3 linked regions of the Neurospora crassa OR74A genome follow. The protein of the gene in region 2 interacts with the protein of the main gene of each other region in a biochemical or structural test. Links are inferred from orthologs where the notes say so. Each region holds a gene or a part of one and is shown on either strand. Other genes may lie near its edges.

What was found.
Region 1: the proteins of NCU09006 (region 2) and NCU03526 form a complex in vitro, tested with the Saccharomyces cerevisiae proteins (2 studies listed by BioGRID). The link is inferred for Neurospora crassa OR74A from reciprocal best matches to the Saccharomyces cerevisiae genes AOS1 and UBA2.
Region 3: of the proteins of NCU09006 (region 2) and NCU04302, one has a biochemical effect on the other in vitro, tested with the Saccharomyces cerevisiae proteins (3 studies listed by BioGRID, with this or other methods). The link is inferred for Neurospora crassa OR74A from reciprocal best matches to the Saccharomyces cerevisiae genes AOS1 and UBC9.

The regions. Positions count from the first base shown.
Region 1 is NC_026502.1:357,286-361,469, forward strand, and holds the start of NCU03526 (ubiquitin-activating enzyme E1 3), read left to right. Parts: upstream 1-1,255; 5' UTR 1,256-1,526; coding exon 1,527-1,673; intron 1,674-1,876; exon of another isoform or gene 1,877-1,935; coding exon 1,936-3,355; intron 3,356-3,427; coding exon 3,428-3,512; intron 3,513-3,559; coding exon 3,560-3,896; 3' UTR 3,897-4,052; coding exon of another isoform or gene 4,053-4,184. Other genes in the region: NCU03527 (hypothetical protein), read right to left, coding at 1-50, 195-807; oar1 (3-oxoacyl-[acyl-carrier-protein]-reductase), read right to left, coding at 4,053-4,184. UniProt on the Saccharomyces cerevisiae protein: The dimeric enzyme acts as a SMT3 E1 ligase. It mediates ATP-dependent activation of SMT3 and formation of a thioester with a conserved cysteine residue on AOS1.
Region 2 is NC_026503.1:4,195,438-4,199,622, reverse strand, and holds NCU09006 (NEDD8-activating enzyme E1 regulatory subunit), read right to left. Parts: upstream 2,709-4,185; 5' UTR 2,338-2,708; coding exon 2,271-2,337; intron 2,212-2,270; coding exon 845-2,211; 3' UTR 515-844; downstream 1-514. Other genes in the region: NCU09005 (hypothetical protein), read left to right, coding at 3,500-3,502, 3,759-4,185. UniProt on the Saccharomyces cerevisiae protein: Could be involved in a ubiquitin-related process important for DNA damage tolerance.
Region 3 is NC_026505.1:5,554,722-5,558,171, reverse strand, and holds NCU04302 (ubiquitin-conjugating enzyme E), read right to left. Parts: upstream 2,017-3,450; 5' UTR 1,517-2,016; coding exon 1,482-1,516; intron 1,411-1,481; coding exon 1,250-1,410; intron 1,177-1,249; coding exon 1,153-1,176; intron 1,080-1,152; coding exon 826-1,079; 3' UTR 575-825; downstream 1-574. Other genes in the region: pex19 (peroxin), read left to right, coding at 2,843-3,136, 3,195-3,450. UniProt on the Saccharomyces cerevisiae protein: E2 ubiquitin-like--protein ligase mediating SUMO/Smt3 attachment to septins and PCNA. Seems to be involved in degradation of S- (CLB5) and M-phase cyclins (CLB2).

The sequences.
Region 1 (4,184 bases), on a different chromosome or scaffold from region 2:
GGTGAATTTTTCGTCATTGATCCAGAATGCGGGATCGGTGATGGGGATTCCTGGACGAGAAGATTCAAAAAACAAGTGTCAATGAAGGGTTCCTTTGTATTTCTTTGCTTTGTTACATAACTATGATACAACTCCAACAGCATCTTCCTCAGTAGTAGCAAAAAAAAACTTCAAGAACAAGAAAGACCACAAACCTTCCTCTAACCCCCGCTGCAACGCCGCCACCAAACTCCAGTACCCCGTCCACCTCTTTCCTCTGTACTCCACCTGGAACCGGTCTTCCTCGCTCTTCTCGCTCCAAAACGAAAAGTTGAGCAGATCCATGGTGAAGATGAACTTGACCGTCTCCTCGTTCTTCTCCTTGGGGTGGAGCGCGTGCGTCGACCAAGTGGCGGGCGAGTACTCCCGCTGCTGCATCTGGTCCCAGATGGTGTTGGCGGCCTTTTTGCACCCGCGCATGTCTAGGGCCACGTCAATGGCGTGGTTGTAGACGAACTCGGCAGACTCCAAAACGCCCGTCTCGGCGGCGGTGTGGGAGGACTGGTTGCCGTTGAGGTGTTGACGCAGGAGCTCGAGGAGCTCGGGGTCGGGTTGGTCTTCGTCGGAGGAGTATGACATTTTTCGATTCACGGGGGTGGTGGTGGTGTGGATGGGACGAGAGAGAGAAATGGGTGAAGGGAGGTGAGGAAATAATAGAGGGACTGAAAGGAAACGAGTGATGTGTTGGGATTTTGAAGAAAAGGGTTGAAGAGGAGGTCTGAGGAAGGGGGTCAGGGCGGAGGGAGTGGGAAAACGGAAAGGTTGCATTTTGAGAGTTTGGTTGGCACTGACACTGACTGTCGAGGGGGCAAGGTTAACCCTGAGATGGGTTGACTGATTTCTAGAATACGATATCCTAAGCTCGAGGGGAAAACAAACGGTCAATTTTACGGTGAGAGATATGATATCCTCGATATCGTCTTGCTCACCCTACTGTGTCGTTTTTCCATTCTCTCCAACCATTCAGAATCAGACCAGCCAATCTTTCATTGTCTGCATGATGTTCCTCTGTTGACTTGTTCAGGGTTATGTATGGGTGGACCCCCCCACCGCAACACAAAAACACAAAGTGGTTGCAGCTTGCAGCAGGGCGACCAATAAGACGCGGCACTTGCGTTGCCGTGTGCCTGCCGGTCGAAGGATCGTCTATGGCCAACCCCGGAATCGGTTTTAGCGTGTCGCTGGAGTTATGACGCGCTACCACCCAGCAAGTGCTGAAGTCTTGACCTGGAAGGAACTCCGGTCTGCCTGTCGCCGATTCAGCGCCTGGTGGTTGCAACTTTTGACTGCCTTCAGTTTGCATCCACGAGGCTGAACTTTTTCAATTTCCGCTTCAATTTTCTTCACCTCTTTCTGCCCTGGGCTTCATCTTGTCCTGGGTATACAGTGACCGCCCGCTCAACGTGAAATAATACTACCCCCCGAACCACCTTCAAGCCTGGTCGCACCTCTTGCTCCTCGGGCGCAAGCCTCCTCAAAATCTCGCCATGGATCCCGCAATGGGCAATCCCATGGTCCCCATGACGGCGCAAATACCAGCACCAGTTGCCCAGCCTATTCCCTTGCCGGTGTTGACGCGGGACAGCTACAATTCGCAATCATTAGGGCGGTCTTTGAATGCAAATGTCAAGCAGGTACGTGCCTTCATTCATCCCAAGTCGTCTCCTCGGCAACAAATGAAGGCCTCCCAATGCTGTCGCAATCCCCGTCGCAACTGGCATCGCTCGGATTGCTATAGAACTTCATTACGAACGCCCCTCCAATTCCAAATCTACGCTTCCTTCCTGCCTTCGTCGCGCCACAACCACCATCATGACTTCCCAGTTGACTGCCGAAGCGGTTCTCGCGCTAGCTCCCGCAGAAACCCCCGAGACTCTGCTAACGACCACCTCACAGGCGCGCGTGCTCATGGTAGGCGCCGGCGGCATCGGCTGCGAACTCCTCAAGAACCTCGTCCTTACCGGCTTCGGTGAAGTCCACGTCGTCGATCTCGACACCATCGATCTCTCCAACCTCAACCGCCAGTTTCTCTTTCGTCACGAACATATCAAAAAATCAAAGGCACTTGTAGCCAAGGAGGCTGCGCAAAAGTTCAACCCCGCCGTTAAGATTGTCGCCCACCATGCGAACATCAAAGATGCGCAGTTCAATATCGAGTGGTTCAGCAGTTTCCGGATAGTCTTCAACGCGCTCGACAACCTCGAAGCCCGTCGCCATGTCAACAAGATGTGTCTTGCCGCCGACGTCCCCCTCATCGAAAGTGGAACAACCGGCTTCAACGGCCAGGTACAAGTCATCAAAAAGGGTGTCACAGCCTGCTACGATTGCGCGCCCAAGGAGACGCCAAAGTCATTCCCCGTATGCACGATTCGCAGTACACCGAGCCAGCCTATTCACTGTATAGTGTGGGGCAAGAGCTACTTGCTCAACGAGATTTTCGGAGCGAGCGAAGACGAGTCAGCATTCGATCATACTGTTGATGGTGATAATGCGCAGGAGATCGAGGAGCTCAAACGCGAGTCGGCGGCGCTACGAAAGATCAGGAATTCTGTGGGTACAGAAGAGTTCGCGCAGATGCTTTTCGAAAAGGTATTCAAGACGGATATCGAGCGGTTGCGCTCAATGGAGGACATGTGGAAGACGCGCAAGCCGCCTGAGCCACTCAACTACAAGGAACTCCTCGATAAGGCCAAGTCGCTCGACAAGGACAAGGTTTTGAAGGATGCTCAGAAGGTGTGGTCGCTGGAAGAGAACCTCGTCGTCTTCAATGACAGTCTCGAGCGACTTAGCAAGAGGGTTCTGGAGAACAAGAGCGCCGGTGAAGAATCCATCATCACCTTTGACAAGGACGATGAGGATACCCTGGACTTTGTCGCCGCGAGTGCCAACATTCGCTCAGCGGTGTTCGGTATTGACAGAAAGTCAAAGTTCGACATTAAGCAGATGGCTGGCAACATTATCCCTGCCATTGCGACAACGAACGCCATCGTCGCCGGTCTTTGCGTGCTGGAGGCATTCAAGGTCCTGAAGGGCCACTACGAGCAGGCCAAGGAGGTTTTCCTTACGCCGTTTGCTAATGCACGTATGTTGGCGTCCGACAAGTCACGGGAGCCTAACCCTGATTGCCCGGTCTGCGGTGTTTACCAGACGAGAGCGTATGTCGATTTGGAGAAGGCGACGTTGAACGATTTGGTAGAACACTTGATCAAGACGAATCTGGGGTATGGCGAGAAGGATTTCGCTATTAGTAACGAGGTTGGCATTCTGTACGACCCGGATGAGACGGATAATCTGGAGAAGAAGCTTTCGGAGCTGGGTATGTTTTGCTACTCAGATTACAGTGGAAGCTGCTACCCATATCGCAATGGAAATTGCTAACATCGTACAGGCATCAAATCCGATTCATTCCTGACCATCACCGACGAAGACGATGAGGAACCTTTCGTTAACGTCGTCGTTGCCATCCAAGAAGCGTACGTCCCCATTTTCTCTCCCATGTTCGTAACTAACACCCTCAAAGCAAGGAGCCTCTGGGTGACAAGCCAGTCAAGGGCATTCTCGACCCAGAGGACGTCAAGATCCCACTCAAGCCCAAGAAGCAGTCACAGCCTGAGCCAGTGGCTACGCCGACAGCTGCCACCAACGGTGCCAGCATATCCAACGGCCAGAACGGAGGAGTAATAAACCTTGATGGCGATGAGCCAATGACGACACCAGCCAAGTCGCTCAAGCGCGGCCACCCCGAAGACGCAGAGGGTCCATCGGTCAAGAAGATCAAGGCCAACGACAAGGCGGCGGATGACGATATCGTCTTTATCGAGGATAGTGCGGGAGCTATCGTGATTGATGATGACTGATCTTCCATCACCCCTTTGCCGTGTCTTGTGCGCGGTTCATTATTGCTACCGTAGGCCGTAGTTATGGTCGGTATATACTATGATTACCACATGGCTTGCTTGCTATTCTTGCTATACCTACTAGCCACAGATACCCACGGGAAGCGGTGTGTCGTTTCAGACAGCACTTAACCCTCCATCAAGATTAAGTACGCAGTTGTTTGCATACGGGTTCTTGATAAGGAACAGGGCAGCGTCGGCGACTTCATCTGTTGTTCCGAAGCGGCCTAGGGGAATTTGTTGGAGAAT
Region 2 (4,185 bases):
AAGCCATAGGCCAAAAGAGCCATGACAAAGGTGCATCTGGATATACCAAATACCAAAACTACGACATAACAGATTGCATTTTTTTTTTTTTTTTTTTTTTAGTTTGCATTGCTTCACGCATAACAAAAGAAAGAGCGGAAGGGAGGAAGGAAGGAAACAACCGTGGGGAGCGTATATACCAACATTGCGCTGGATAGGATGGAGTTGTTGTCTTTGATTTGACCTTTTGGTTTTGGTTCTGGTTTTCTTTTTTTTCGGTTGCTACAAGACAGGAGTTCGGAAGCATAAAAGCATTATTGAGGTTTTGATCAAGAACCAGGGAATACAAATTTGAGAATTACTAGTTGCTTTCAGATACATCATACATTGAGATATGTATAAATGGATTGATTACATGACATTGTGGTGATCTTGTACACACCCTCTCTCACAGAACTCCTCCAACTGCCATAACGTTCTCATGAGTGAATATTGCCACACGTTACTTTCAGCAGGAACAAAGCAGAGTGGCTTCATTTTTTAAACACCCAAGTTCATATTTTCGCCAGTCTAGCTACTAGTCATCCTAACCAGCCAGATATGTGACCCTTCATCCACAGAAAACATGAGTCTGTCTGTCTGTCTAAAAAGTTGTTGCTACATTCATCATACATGTATTCTCTCGTTTGTCCGCAAGCCATTGAATTACAGTTTACCACACGAACGCCCTGCATCGCATCGTTCTAGATTCCCAAGCACACCCCAGATAGGATCCAAGCCAAGCCACAAAAAAAAAAGGGGGGGGGGGGGGGGGGAGTGAGCCAGTAATGCGAATACCTAATCGACTTGATAAGTGAAGAGAAAGTCAGGCGTTACCGGCACCAGAGCCTTGCTGCTCTTGCTGCTGTCCAGCGCCCGTGAATTGTTCAGTTGATACACCATTAGCGTGCTGCTGCTGCTGCTGTTGCTGCTGCTGTTGCTGCTGCTGTTGCTCGACACCCTCCATCTGAGACGAAGGCTGCTGCTGCTGCTGCTGCTGCTGCTGGCCGCCCCCGAGATGCTGTCCACCCAACCCCATCAAATCCGTCGTCTGTCCTTCCTTCTCCAACACCTCCGCCGCAGCTTCAATCACCCCCATCGTCACCGGCAACAGTCCTCTGCCGAGCTCTCCCTCGCGGGGATGCAACGCATACACATTCGCCTCCATGCTCTCCCCACTAAACACCACAAAGTTCTGAATCGGCTGCTGCGTCTGTCCCAGAACGTTGATCACGTCCTGCGCCAGCTGCCCGCCCAACACCGCCGCCACGGGAGCCAGCTCGGCGCCCACGTTCTGCAGGAACGATCGCAACAACTCGGCCCGCAACGTCTCCGCGGGCAGGCCGAGGGCTTTGTGCTTGTCGCTGCACATTTGCGTAAAGGCCGCGAGAGCGGTGTGGTTGGTCAAGAGTTCGGGCCCGGTGGGCGGGACGCCGAAAGTGGAGGTGAACTGCCAGAGGGCACGCAGACAGCTGAGGATAGGGGTGACGGCGCGTTTGCGGCGCGGGGAGGAGAGGATGTCTTGGGGGAGGAGGGAGGCGTCGGAGGAGGCGAGGAGCCAGGTGGAGTAGAGTTCGCGTTTGGTGACGAGCTCGATGTCGGAGTCCTTGTTGTCGGGTTCTTTGGGCGCGACGGAGACGATGGAGCGGGTTTTGGTCTCTGGACCCAAGGTGGTGGAGAGGTTGGAGCGCTGGCGCTCGATAATAAAGTCGTGCTCGATCAGGTCGGCGAAGAGGAAGCCGTAGAGACCGTGCGAGCCGGCGGCGTAGAACTTGCGGCCGTGGATGCGGGTGGCGGTGTTGATGACGTTGAGGGTGTCGGCGTCGAGGTCGGTGGCGATGATGATGTCGAACGACGAGTAGAAGGACGAATGCTTGGTCCGGATGTCGTCCGTGTCGACAATGACTTTAACGCGCGGGTTGAGACGCTGGAGGGAGGCGCTGGCGGCAATGGCGCGGTTCTGGCCGAGGTGCCCGTCCTCGGCGGACAGGAAGAATTGCGCGCCCAGGTCGGCTTCGGAGACGACGGCGTGGTCGTTGATGGTCAGGGAGCCGATACCTGCCAGGACGAGGTTCTTGGCGATCTCGTTGGCGAGGGCTTTCATGGTGATGAGAAGGATGTTGGCAGAGCGGATCTTTTCTTGGGCTTTCATGCCCCAGAGTCGAATTTGCCGGTCATAGAGGGCGATCTCATCTGTTGAGGGGGTTAGTTTCGTAACCTATCTCCAGACATAAGGAGGGTTAAGCACTTGCCTGCACTGATGCCAGCAGCCGAATGGGAAGCCTCTTGACCAGATCCGTTAGTCTCGGTGGTAGTCATGATGGACAACGACTCTTTAAGGACGACACTTTGGTTGTTGTGGCCAGGAACAAAAACGACCCCTTTGGTTATTTGCGCCAAGTGATATTTGCGCTTGTGGTTGTAGGTGGTGAAGTTGAGGTGAGAGGTGAAGGAACGCGGGCAAGCGAACGATTCGGTTCCTAGACCGAGAACTAAACTTGGAAACTTGGCGAAGAGTTGCCTTTTCTAGATTCTGACAGCAAAATAGTTAGAATTGGGTTCAAGGTTTTTTTTTGAGACCAGTGATATCAGTGCGCATGCCGTACTATTGGCCGTTCGATCTCAAGTTGAGGATGGTGGTTGGTGTTGAGATTGAGACGCGTGGTGCAAAAGTAGGTGGAAGAGGCCTGTGCATTTCGGCGGTTTTACTTGACTATCTCCATTAACAAACTGAGTAATACGTAAGATCGGACAACGGCAAACACTCGCGCTTCTTGGATCTTTTGGAATGATTTCGCTAAGGATCCAATAGATGCTACAAACGCCACCCGTTATCAAGTTTGAAATCCAGCAACCAAGGTAACTTTGCAACGAGAAGAAGAAGAAGGGAACGGAATGCACTTTGTGGTTTGGACGGGGACTTGGGGTTACACTCAGTGAACATCCATACGTATCGTAGATCCCGATGCCAAATGACGCCAGTTAAAGTGGTACTTGCACATCATGGCCACTATGGCGCCTCATCAAGTATATGCTAACAATTACACTCCCACAACGTCAGTGAAGGACAAGGTACCTATTACCCTCCATGCCAGAATAGGTACCTAGGTTCTCGGTGGATATGGATATGGATGGTGTTGGCTCGCCCAGCTGCCCGCCCGTGGTTGACTCCTCCTCTCGTCTCAGGGTGTCCCGTGCAACGGCCGGGTCTAGTGTGTACACTACAAGATGATCGGCCACTCTACAATCCTTTCCACTTTCAACACTCTTTCCTCCGTGATCATTTTGACATTTGACATTTGACCCTTGACTTTCGCCTTCTTTTTCTGCACATTTTGTTTACTTGAACCATCTCTTTTTTCAAGCGCTATTGTGCCACTCCTATCTTTCGCACGCTGGTCTGTCTTGTCCCAGCCGGGTTCTATTCCTTTTACCTCCCCGCTTGCGCCTCCCCCCCCTGGTCTTTGTGCCCTCAAGCTTCATGGTAAGTTGCCCTTTCTGATATGCGCTTCCACGGCCCCCATCCAAACCTAACATATCGCCGCGTTATCAAACCTGCCGCTTCTCTGCGCCTTCCACACGCACTGGCGCCTCGACATATGGCGTATGAGCCCAGTTCGAAGCTGTAAGCTTCTGATTTACACCCAGACCACCTCGCTGCAGGAACACATTTTCTGGTGTCTTGTTACCTGCGAGTACTACACCTTAGTACTAACTTTCATCCTTCTCTTGTACCCTAGTCCGACAGTCGACCTCTAAGGTCGCCCTGGGATTCGGAATCTCGCCAAAATAACGCCCAACCCGATGCCCTTCCGCCGAGATCTCCCACGGCGATATCCCGAGAACGATTTGAGGCTCTAGAAAGATTCCACGACCGCATCAGTCGCAACCTAGCTCTCGAACAGGCTGCCTCCAGGGTGCTCGCTCGGTCCAGGATGTCCTCCGGCTCTGACCGGTCTCTTCGCCGGCGATTCAACCAGGATTCTCAACCCTCTAGCAGCTTTTTGCCGCCTGCCATTCCAAGTTCAACTTCTTCGACCCCTACCCCACCCTTACTTCCGTCCCTTCGTTCGCTTGGCTCAAGGGTGCGACCCGGCGTGTCGGCGCCCGGAGGCCAGAACGGCCGCCCTTCCCGTTATTCGCCCTTTGACCGGGCAATGGAGAGGC
Region 3 (3,450 bases), on a different chromosome or scaffold from region 2:
TGTTAGCTGGCCACACAGTGGAGAGAAACGAGCAGTAGTGTGAATATTTTCATCACAGTGTGCCGGCAGATTTTGTGCCAGCTGCACAGGCTGACAAGTCCTTCCAGCTCTCCAACGTCATTGTGTCAACGGCATAAAGTCCAACTCCCTTACAAACCTTAAGTGGGGAGAAGGGGGGGGGCGGGGGGGGGGGGGGGGGACGACGGGTACCCCAGGTTTCTCCGCAAGCGGAGCGTGGCTTGCAACCTTGCCGTGAGGTTAAAAACTTCTTGACAAACTGAAGACACAGATAAAGCTAGTGATAAATCCTGTACGGAGTATCTGACTGAGACTCTGTAAACTGGGTGCCCGATATTCTAGGTTTTCCGGACGTGAACTTCCCGTGAAATAACTTTTTGCTATCTTTTCTTGAAACGCATACCTCTCCCGCCTTGGTCGAATCATCTGCGATTGAAGATGACTCTTGAGGGTTCATCCCACTGATTCCACTACTCCCCGGCCGAACTCGACCGTGAGTTTGGTAGAAGGGAGATCTAGGTCCGAGACAGCAAGTATTGAGCACAAAAGTTGGGGGAAACGGACTGATGCATCGGGCGCAGCGTCGGTAATTTTTTTTATTTTTCTTAGACTCTTGTTCCTCGATCATGAGTATATAGAGCAGCCCGAAAATTGAATCGTGCGCAGGATCGCTATCAATGAATGAACTCCCTCCAAATGCCGCCACAAACAATGAATTGGTATCCCTAAACTCCGTGTCCCAGGTCCAGCAAAACAGAACTGCTCTCTCTTTTTCACCAAGCACCCTCACATTCGTGGGTTCCCAATCTATGGGGCGGCATTCTCCCGCACGACGCGCTTGATCCGACGTTCATATTCCTGACGATCTTTCTTGAAGAGATTGTACGCCTCAGCCTGGGCTGGGGACTCGGGATTGGGGTCATTGAGCAAGTCCTGGATGCCGAGCAGGATCTGCTTCATCGTGATGGCCGGCTTCCATGCCTCTTCTTCGTTGAGGATCGAGAGACAGACCGTGCCTGATGGGTAGACATTGGGGTGGAAAAGAGGGGGGACGAATTTGCCTGCTCAGACGCCAACATGTTAGCCATGTGATCGTAGCAAGGGGGGATGGACGAGGGCTAGCTTTCGGCGTACACTTGGGGGGTTTCGTGGGATATTCTGCATGCAGGAAACGTCAAGTCAGCACGTGTATTCTTCTGACTAAAGACACCGACCGGTGCAGGGCGCATACCATCAGGGAACGTGACGGTCAACTTGAACAGACCACCCTCCCAGATTGTCTTTTCTTTGCCCGGAATACCACATTCCCAAATCTTCAAGTCGAGCACACCCTGCTGGTTCTTCTGGGGACGGGCATAGAAGCCAAAGGGATGGTCCTTTCGCCACTGCTTCCTAGAGGGAGAGAATAAGATTGTCAGTCTGCTGGACGTAGGTACACTGTTGCGCAATGCTTTGCGGCGTACCGTTCCTCTTGCAAGCGGTTCTGGCACAGCGCCATGGTGGTTGACGAGGTTGACGTTGACGGGGTTTGGCGTCGGTAAAAGTTGAGCGGTGGCTGATCAACGTGGGATTCGAGTGATCCCTTGGACAAACTGAATGCGACGACGATTCAACTTCGACGGCCGGCTTCTTGCTAATGCAATGACGGCGCCGAGAAACGTGGGGATGCGGCTGAAGAGCTGCTCGGGTTGGTCACGGGGGGGATGGGCGCGGATCAGAAGGTGGAGTGTGGGAAGGTCCTCTGCAGGTAAGAGATCCAATCCTATGGGCCACGCGATATGTAGCAGCGTGGAGTATGTACTGCGTAGTAGCCCCGCAAGGTGAGAGGTGAAGGTGATTTGGGGTTTGTAAGGCCAAAAAAGAAAAGATGAGGGTTCGAATATCTGGAGTATATGCGGGGAATGATGCGCAATCCGAATGGAACTATGTAACGAAGTGTTTCCTGGGAAGGGAACCGACTGTGACTGATGTGGTAGACTTCGAATCCTAACGAGGCTGGAGGGAAGTTTCAGTTTGCAACGAAGTGACAGCAAATCGAATGGCAGGCGACACGCTCATTCAGTTATTGCCTGCCGGGCTCGGAGTTCCTGTCGCCTCGAATCAGGAAGGCGGAGAGTGGGTGAAGTGAATGGCATGGAAGCTCTCCTCTGCTTAACTTGTACTCCGAAGCTTGTCAACGGCATTTCACATACAGTAAATGGCCCATTTCAGTGACAGCGTGTAGGCTCCAAAATGAGCTTGATCCGCAGTCACACTAGCATCAGAAGATGGGATGACAGCGAGATGCCTGTTAGTATGGACTTTAAGTGCTCAAGCAACCTGATCAAGGAATATTGTCTGAAGCTGGAGGTGGTGTCCCTCGGCACACAGCGTACCCCGGTGGGCAATGGTGGGGTAACCGCCCTGTTCAAGCAGAGATGCGGGAAAGCGCCATGAGGAGTGAGCCGAATTGCACATGCAAAGGAAAACCCCCTCGTCATCTGAACCCTTCTGGATGTCAATCTCCATCTGACTTCTCTCCCTTCCATGTTTTCTTCCACTGATCACCCTTTCTTTGAAGGTTTTGGTTCGCTATACAATTCTGGATTTGCCTATCCCAGAGAGATTTTGTATACTCTCTTGATAGACCACTCCGCCTTGCATTAGCTTGGTTTCTACCTCAAACAGACAACTTCCCGCTTTTACCTCTCTCAAAGAGGTCGTGCTTCAGCGTGGGGTCAACCTTTTGCCCGAGCATCTGCTTCGTCTGTCGGAACGAGGCGCATCCACGACCGATCGACGTCTTTGCGATTTACACAACATTCTTACACACTCATACCGCACAATGGCTTCGAATAACGCCGGCGCAAAGGAGGAGGTGCCCAGGAAGGCCACCGTGGCCGACGAGTTCGACGATGACGTGTCCGACCCGGATGAGGATGACCTGGATGACCTGGATGACATGCTCGATGAGTTCGCCGCAGTAGACCTTCAAGCCAAGAAGCCTTCGGGGCCAGCAAGGCCAGACGCCGCTGGGGCAGATGGTGCCAAGGGGGAAGATGATGTCCTGTCCGAAGAGGAGTTTGCGAAGCAGCTGCAGGCCGGCATGGCTGATCTCCTCGGTGACATCGAGAACTCGGTAGGCGCAAACAATCGCAATATCCCAATTTCTGCGGCTCTAGCTAACTCTGAGCCAGCCTGAGCTACAAGCCCAGTTCGAGAGCATATTCAAGGAGCTAGGCGCCGCCGCCGCTGCCTCGGGTGCCGAAACACCTGGTATTCCCACCCCAAAGGCCGAGACTTCGACCAAGACTCCTCCGTCTTCTTCCCGCAGAGCCTCGGCCGCGGCCTCACCATCGAGCAAGAATGCCGAAGCTTCCTTTCAAGAGACCATCCGACGGACCATGGAGCGCATGCAGACATCTGGCGAGCAGGCCACGGCCGCTGCCGCAG